Linked DNA regions of Sus scrofa. The protein of the gene in region 1 binds, or shares a complex with, the protein of each later gene. Links are inferred from orthologs where the notes say so. Each region holds a gene or a part of one and is shown on either strand. Other genes may lie near its edges.

Region 1 (3,750 bases):
GCTATAGTGTCATACGTGCCCAAGGAATGTTCGCCCTTCCCAGGTGCTGAGACCTAAGGTCAGAAGGCACTAGACCAAAGAGGATTGGAACCTGGCCTGGCTTAGTTGAGGATTAGGGGCACAGCCAAGGTGAACAGTTGGGGCGTCTTGGAATCTCCTTGACATGGGGACTCAGAAGGTGGCACCAGCCCCATAGCAACATTAGGGGCTAACCCTCTCTTCCTCACCCTAAACCTCAACCCCATGACAGTTGCCAGCTCGGGGCCTAGAACCAGATGCCGCCTGGCTGGAGGGCCCTTTGAAGAGCACCAGGGACCCTGCCTTCCTTTCTCAGTACCATTACCTGGACCAGCCGACGAGAGGGGGCGCAGCGCAGGCCAGAGCCATGACCCAGGTGAGGGCCAGGCCCATGATGGCGTGGTTCTCCCCGAAGCGGAAGTTGCTCATAGGCTTACACACCACCACGTACCGTTCAATGGCCAGGACCACCAAGGACCACAGGGCGATTTCACCTGTAAGGCAGTCAGCTGTTGGTCAGCTCACCCCAGGCCTGGAGCTGCTTAAGGACAGAGAGCTCCTATTCCATGGAGAGAGGATGGTAAGAAAGGCAAGGTCCTTGAGTGGAGGGGCCCAGGGGTCCAGAGTAAGTCCTAGGAAGTTAATTTAGAGCTCTGGGTTCATGAGGGACACAAAAATCAGGTCACAGGGTCATGGCTGGACTGGGAGCTCTAAAGGGAGTTTTTATAGAGCAATGTGCCCTGCACATCTGAAGGGCACAGCAGAGGCATTGTTTCATGGAAGCTGGGGTTGGAAGGCCTCCCTTCCAGGGAAATGAAACAACCTGGGCATGTGGGACCCCTGCCTAGGAGCCAGGAAGCTGGATACAATTTTGCTCAGAGAAGAAGTAAGAAATGATGGAATTCAGGCACCTTCCTTGAACAACACCCCCCACCCCGCCCCCAACCCCAGAAACTCAAGAGAGAAGGTGGCCATAGCATTGGCCAACCACAATGGGACATTTCTGAGAGTCAGAGGGAACACCAGTGAGAATTCCAGGGCAGCAGTTTGGCAGAGGCGTGCCTGCCTATATGTGCCACTCTTCTGGCCTGAGATTGGGTGATGTGTGTCACTGAAGGTGACAAACACCCAGTGATGGCTACAATCCCTGGGAATGGGGATGAGGCAACATCCTGGATATATGCGGGAGGCAGAGCATCCCTGTGGCTGGCACTAGGCTCTCCCATCATCCTGGTCGTTTTGTAGTAACGACCTCCCGAGTCTCCTGCTTGCCTAACAGGCTTTGTGTCCCCAGTGGGACATTCCTGGAGCTAAGCCAGTAGACCAGGGCTCTGGTCACTGCCCTGCCACATCATCAGCTGAGTCTTCCTCTCTCCACACCCCAGTTTTCTCACCTACTTAATGGGTCTGAGGCACTCAGTTTTTCCATTAAAGAAAATACTTTAAAAGTACTGCCCAAAAGTTCCCATTGTGGCTCAGTAGTAATGAACTCAACTAGTATCCATAAGGATGCCAGTTCAATCCCTGGCTCCCTCAGTGGGTTAAGGATCTGGCATTGCCATGAGCTGCAGTGTAGGTTGCCAACATAGCTCGAATCTGGCATTGCTCTGGCTGTGGTGTAAGCCCACAGCCATTTTTACCCCTAGCCTGGGAACTTCCACATGCCTCTGGTGTGGACCTAAAAAGACAAATAAATAAAGTACCACCCGAAGCTACAGATAACCACACGGGTCTAAAGTCTCCCTACGGATGGCTCCGCATTCAACCATGACAGGCTGGAGGTGGGCTGTGACCAAGTCTGATAGATGCTGGGGTAGGGTCTGAGCCCATCGCCCAGTGCAGGCAAAGTCTAGACTGGAGGACTGGGAAGCCTCGTCCTGCCCAGGAGGGGAGTCCCATGCAGGGGTCTCTCCTGCCCAGCTCTATCCTTGTGCCTGGCATGGGTCTGACCCCACACAGCTCCTCCGGGGAGAAAGGGAACATGGCCTGAGGGGCTACAGAGACTTGAAACTCAGCTTTGCTGTTGCCACGATGTGACCCTAGCAAGGCCCTTGACTTGTCCCACCCTCAACAAATGGCAGCCTGGCTCAGATCACTGAAGTGTTTGTTGATTGAGGGCTTTGGATAATGGCCTGTCAGCCACTACCCCTAAGGCTGGGGCTGTGCCCAGATTCCTGTCATGCTCCTGGCTCCTTTTCCCCCTGCCCCCCCCCCCATGGCATCCCAGCTCATACCGCCCAGGGTGGCAAAGAATCCCTCCAAGTTGCATCCTGTGGGTCCGAAGACAAAGTATCCATGCAGAGAGGTGTAGAGGGTGGTGGTGAAGCCTCCGAAGACCATGAAGAGGTCAGCCACTGCCAGGTTGAGAAGGATGTAGTTGAGGGGTGTGCGCAGCTTCTTGTGCTGGACCGTGACGTAGAGCGTGAGGAAGTTGATGGGGAAGCCAAGCACAATCAGCATGAACATGTAGGCAGCCAGCATGGAGAACTGCCATGGCTCAGCCAGGTAGTACTGCGGATACTCAAAGGGGCTGCGCACCACGCCCGTCTTGTTGGAGAAAGGCACGTAGAAGTTTGGGCCCTCCGTCCCATTCATGGCTGCGGCCCCTTGTGGCTGCCTTGCAGCTGCTCCAACCCAAGGATGCTGCTGAGGCCTGAGCTCGGCCACGCAGGGCTCCGGCTAGACGACTCTGGGCTCTGACCGCCCCCCCCAGGCCATTATAAAGTGACCTCCCCTCCCTAAGCTCTGGGCTGAATCAGCACCTGGGAGATTGGGGGCGTTATTAATCATATTAATCCCCACGGCTGCAACTGGGGCCTAATTGGCTTCCAAGAGGGGCCAAGGTGACTTGAGGTGGAAGGCTGTGGGCAGGGAGAGGAGATGCTTGGGACCCTGGGAAAGGGCCGGAAGCCTGGCCCAACTCTCCTCTCCCTGAGGAATCTCTGCTGTCTCAGCCAGTGGCCTTGGCCTGGCATTGGGACCTCTGACTCCATGGCCACTTCCTTTTGGCTTAGTGCAAGCAAGCCTTATCTTCCTCCCAACTGCACCACGAGCTTTCAGAGGGCAGAGGCTCGGGTTATTCTGCTCTCAGCCCCTCACCTACTCCTTCCTGGCTCAGCCAGTCACCAGACACTGACCCTCACCCATCTGCCAGGTTATGAGCTTCGAAAGGGCAGGGGCCAGGTCCTGCCAGCTTTGACCTTCCCAATGCCAGACACATAGCTCGGCATCTCCCGGTAGCTCAATAAGCATTTATTGCATTGAACTGAAATTCCCTTGCTCACTCATTCAACAAACATCTATGTGTAGGCCACTGGGGACATGAAGCCTGAGGAAGGAGGAGGACTCCCATGGCAAGAACAGCCCCCATCCAGGGGTGGCGGTGGTCTACATGCAGGAAGTATCCAGGAAGGCAACATTTTGGGAAGGAGGCCCTCTGCCAGGTCACCAAGTAGGGATGGATAGCATTGACTAAAGACAAAGGCTGGCAGAGGCCTAGGGCCCAGCTGGCCTGGGGCCACACATGGGCTGGGGCCATTCTGGTAGAGCTTAGTGCCAGGGGCATTATCAGGCATGGTGGGCAGGTCTCAGGGACAGAGAGGTGGCTCAACAGTCCCCAAAGATGGACTGAAGGAGTGAAGATGGAAGAAGGGATGAAGGAGGGGGAAGTGACAGAAGTAGGGAGGAGTCAGAGGGTCTCAGGGCTCCCGAGACAAGACCCTGCATCCAGGA
Region 2 (3,750 bases), on another chromosome or scaffold:
GACTTTATGCAATTTTGATTGTCTTAGGAAAGTAAAAGATATAAAGGAAACATTAATGATATTTGATATCTCTTCTGCAGAATCGAACCCTTTCTTCTTGATCTAGCCCACCACTTTAAAAATACTTGATATATTGAAAATATATCTATTCTTTTGAAATTTTATTCAGACATAGGGATTTTTAATATATTCCAACACTGCTCACATGCCATTGTTCTTAGTATAGGAGGGACACAGAATGCATTTGCATGAATGCTTGATTTTTTTTCCCTCTCACGTTTTATTTGCTTTCTCTATATCCACATTACTTTCACTCTTGACCAAAGCCTTAGAGAATACTCTGGAGGTTAGGGAAAGTATATGTGCTAGTTTCAAGAGAGTTGATTCCTATGTCTCTCTAAGTTACCAGCCTCTCTAGGTAGATACTTGCAAGTGCTGCGGGCAAGTGTGAGGCTTTGGAACTTGGGCATAAAGGGAGAAAACATTTCCTGTCCTTGGAGGAGAAAGTGCTAGGAATGTCATAGTTTCTGAGTCACTTTTGCCCCTGGTACCAAATTAGACCCAGCAAAGGGACACATGCACACACACATACACACAAACACACACACAAAAGAGAGCATTTTGTTATGTGGAAGATTCACAATTCCGAAATAAAATGAAGTCCTTTTATGTATAACTAAGATCAGGAGGAACACACAATTATGAATAAATTAAAGCTTTTGTATTATTTTCATAGGTCTTTATTTGAAAAATATATTTATCTTCTAGTGACCATGACACGTTAACATTTGTTTGTATATTTAGAAAAATGTGTGGCATATTGATTATTTTCATTCCTTCAATTCATTGAACACTTATGGAATTTATAGTTGTGGTAAAATATTGTACTGAATTTGGAGGAAATAAAAGGTAGAAGAGACATAACTCCTGATCTGAATGAATATTTAAGTATCCTGAAAGGATTTAAATGGAGGGTTTTTTTTTTTTTTTCCACGTATGCAGACAACATTACAGGCCTGTTCAGGAGCCTGAATGATATTATTAATGTGAAATAAAGTATTTAACCACTACTCTATAAATAACTTGAAACTAATGGTTATTATAGCATAAGTAATTAAATAACATTAGTGTTGATACCAATCAACATATTTTCAAACAAAATGACATAAAGCTTTAAAATGTGTAATAAGTGATTGTTTTCAATATTAAAAAAGTTGATATCCAGGAAATGACTAGGATAAAATAAGAAAAGTCCATGAGTTTTTATAATAATAGATGATTGACATAGAGAAATGAGTCATCTAATAAATATTTTTCTCTGCTTAACTAAAAAAAATGTAATAAAATCCTAAACAAAAGCAAACTTTATAGAGTTCATATGAAGTCTAGTTAAGTTCCAAACACATTTTCATAATAAACCTTCCATATGGTATTTCGGTTAAAGTTTGAGAAAAGTAAAATATTATGGATGAAACAAATCAGGGTTTTAAAGGCAAAATAAAAACACGATATTACCTAATAACAGCAACTTGACAGTTCTTGCATCTCGCTCAGCATCTTCCTGAAGCTTTTTCTCCAATTCTTTTGATCTCTTGGCAGACTCTTTGCTTTCTGAACTAATGCTGCTTCCCATCTTGTAGTGTTAGATACTTGTCAGTTTATTTGCTCAAACTTTTTAAAATGTACAGCACAGCTCTTGTTTGGACATAGGATGCAAGAGCAGTGCTCTGCTGAAGTACCAACAGCGCATTCCCTCACTCCCTAAGACACTGCTTTGACTAGGGAGATGCTTTCCAAGCTGTCACCTGATCACAGGGTAAAACTATTCAACCATAGAGTTGTATGGTTGGCATGTAAAGAGGAAATTCATTATGCTTTCAAATTAAATGGATACTTCTGGGACATCCTCCAACCTGCTCATCTTCCTTAAAGAATAGCATACCATACATAGTGTAGAAAGTTGTCAAAATCTGAATGAGCAGTTCAAATGGAGTGTTTCCCACTTATATCTATCTATCTATCTATCTATCATAGGCAATCCTTATTACATGATGTAAAGATATTATTAATAATCAACAAAGTTTGCATCTTATCTTCAGATATTTCAGTCTTCAAATTCTTTGTAATTACTCCAGTGTCACTATCTGAATATTTATATTCAATCAGCCAAATTTATAGTCTTGCTATGCTTAGATTATGTCTCAAAGTGTTTGACACTCTCGTAGCCTCTTTCAGTTAACTAGAAAATACCTTTTTATGAAAAAATGGAAACAAATACATGTAGTTCTTACATCTATAAACATTGTTGTATTGCCAAACATAGAATTCAACACACAGTGCTCTTAAATTATTTGCTTTAGTCTCATAGGATTAAATTGTACAAATTGAGCTTTTACGCATGTGAGAAAGTCAATCCATCAACATTAATTGAGATCCTGCTCAGGGTAGACACTGAAATGTGTTCAATTTAGGCAGTGCATTAACTCTTTGGGACCATTAAGCAACAGCTGCTATGCTATAAAGACGTCTATTGATTTAGTACCAAAGGAATAAAAAAAGCAATAGTCTTTGAAACCAGTAGGTCATTTGGTTTTTCCTGAAAAGTAAGAACCTTAAATATACCTAGATATGTCCATGCCTTTAGACCACCCCAAGAGATGTCTTGTCCTTCCTAAAGGTCTGTGAGCTTGGGGATGGAGATTCCTGTGTAATTTTTTGTTTATATTAATCAAAAAGCATTTAGTAGTCAAGTGCTGTTTTCCTTATGAACATGTGGTAAGCAGGCAAATCTCTCAGTGCACATTTTGGGAATTGTGAATGTACCTAACCAGGAAATGCTAGAATACCGTCTGTCCATCAGCATGTCAGGGCCATTCTTTTGGGATCATGGGCAGTCTGAACAGGTGGGCTTTTGCATATTCATAGAACAAGGAAATAAGTTGCCAAATTCAATACAGAGTCCTGCTTTGTTTACTTTTTCACATAAAATATTAGGCTGCCAATACATAAGCATAGTCAAATCTTTCTGAATTTCATTCTTCTAAAGCCATGTTATGATAGTATAAAGATGTGGAAAGGCAGGTATGCGAGGGTCCATGCAAACCATGCAGTGTTGCTATTACAATGCAAAGGGCCTGCTCCAAAGGAACAAAGATTTGCATTGATTGCTTTATTTATGCTTACGCATGAGGACTGAGTCCACATTAACAGTAGCACATAAGAATACAAATATTAAACTATTCTGATTTTTGTTTTTACATCAAAATTGAACACAGAGTACCCTGAATATAAAAGACGCATGTATGTCTCATAGCAATTATGAATGGATAAGATACTTTGTATAATTTGATTCAAGTAAATATACCCCATAGCTTTTTAGTGGGAACATACCCTGGCTTAGAAAGGGTACATATTTTACTGAGACTCCCTAAGTGGGTTACTGACAAAAACTGACCAACTTTTTCAGGGGTAGAATTGTATATTTTCTGCACTGTATTAAATTACAAATTTCCACTTTTCTGTTCAGCCCAGAATATGCAGTCATCAATTTCGTGAAATTATTATGTGATTTTTTTTTCATCAGTGACTAAAATTCAAGCTGCATCTATATTTAGGGGAGGGAGGCTGGGGAGAGCCATGGAGAAGAGAAAGGCTTTTTTCTCAGCCCTCTCCCCTGGGTACCTGGGACACAGCTCTGCTAATGAGTTGGGGTTGATAATACACCTATTAATCCATGTTGCTTCACTTAGG

Evidence for each region. Proteins that work in one complex are often made in the same cells at the same time.
Region 2: the proteins of RHO (region 1) and GNAT3 are in contact, whole or in part, in a crystal structure (PDB 4A4M), measured with the Bos taurus proteins. The link is inferred for Sus scrofa from reciprocal best matches to the Homo sapiens genes RHO and GNAT3. Residues at the interface, in NP_001014890.1 of Bos taurus: Leu72, Arg135, Val138, Val139, Lys141, Thr229, Val230, Ala233, Thr242, Thr243, Lys245, Ala246, Glu249, Val250, Asn310, Lys311, Gln312; in NP_001103452.1 of Bos taurus: Ile344, Asn347, Leu348, Lys349, Asp350, Cys351, Gly352, Leu353, Phe354.

What each region holds. Positions count from the first base shown.
Region 1 is NC_010455.5:68,907,441-68,911,190, reverse strand, and holds the start of RHO (rhodopsin), read right to left. Parts: upstream 2,614-3,750; coding exon 2,253-2,613; intron 513-2,252; coding exon 344-512; intron 1-343. UniProt on the Homo sapiens protein: Photoreceptor required for image-forming vision at low light intensity. Required for photoreceptor cell viability after birth.
Region 2 is NC_010451.4:99,857,715-99,861,464, reverse strand, and holds the start of GNAT3 (guanine nucleotide-binding protein G(t) subunit alpha-3), read right to left. Parts: upstream 2,633-3,750; 5' UTR 1,634-2,632; coding exon 1,516-1,633; intron 1-1,515. UniProt on the Homo sapiens protein: Guanine nucleotide-binding protein (G protein) alpha subunit playing a prominent role in bitter and sweet taste transduction as well as in umami (monosodium glutamate, monopotassium glutamate, and inosine monophosphate) taste transduction.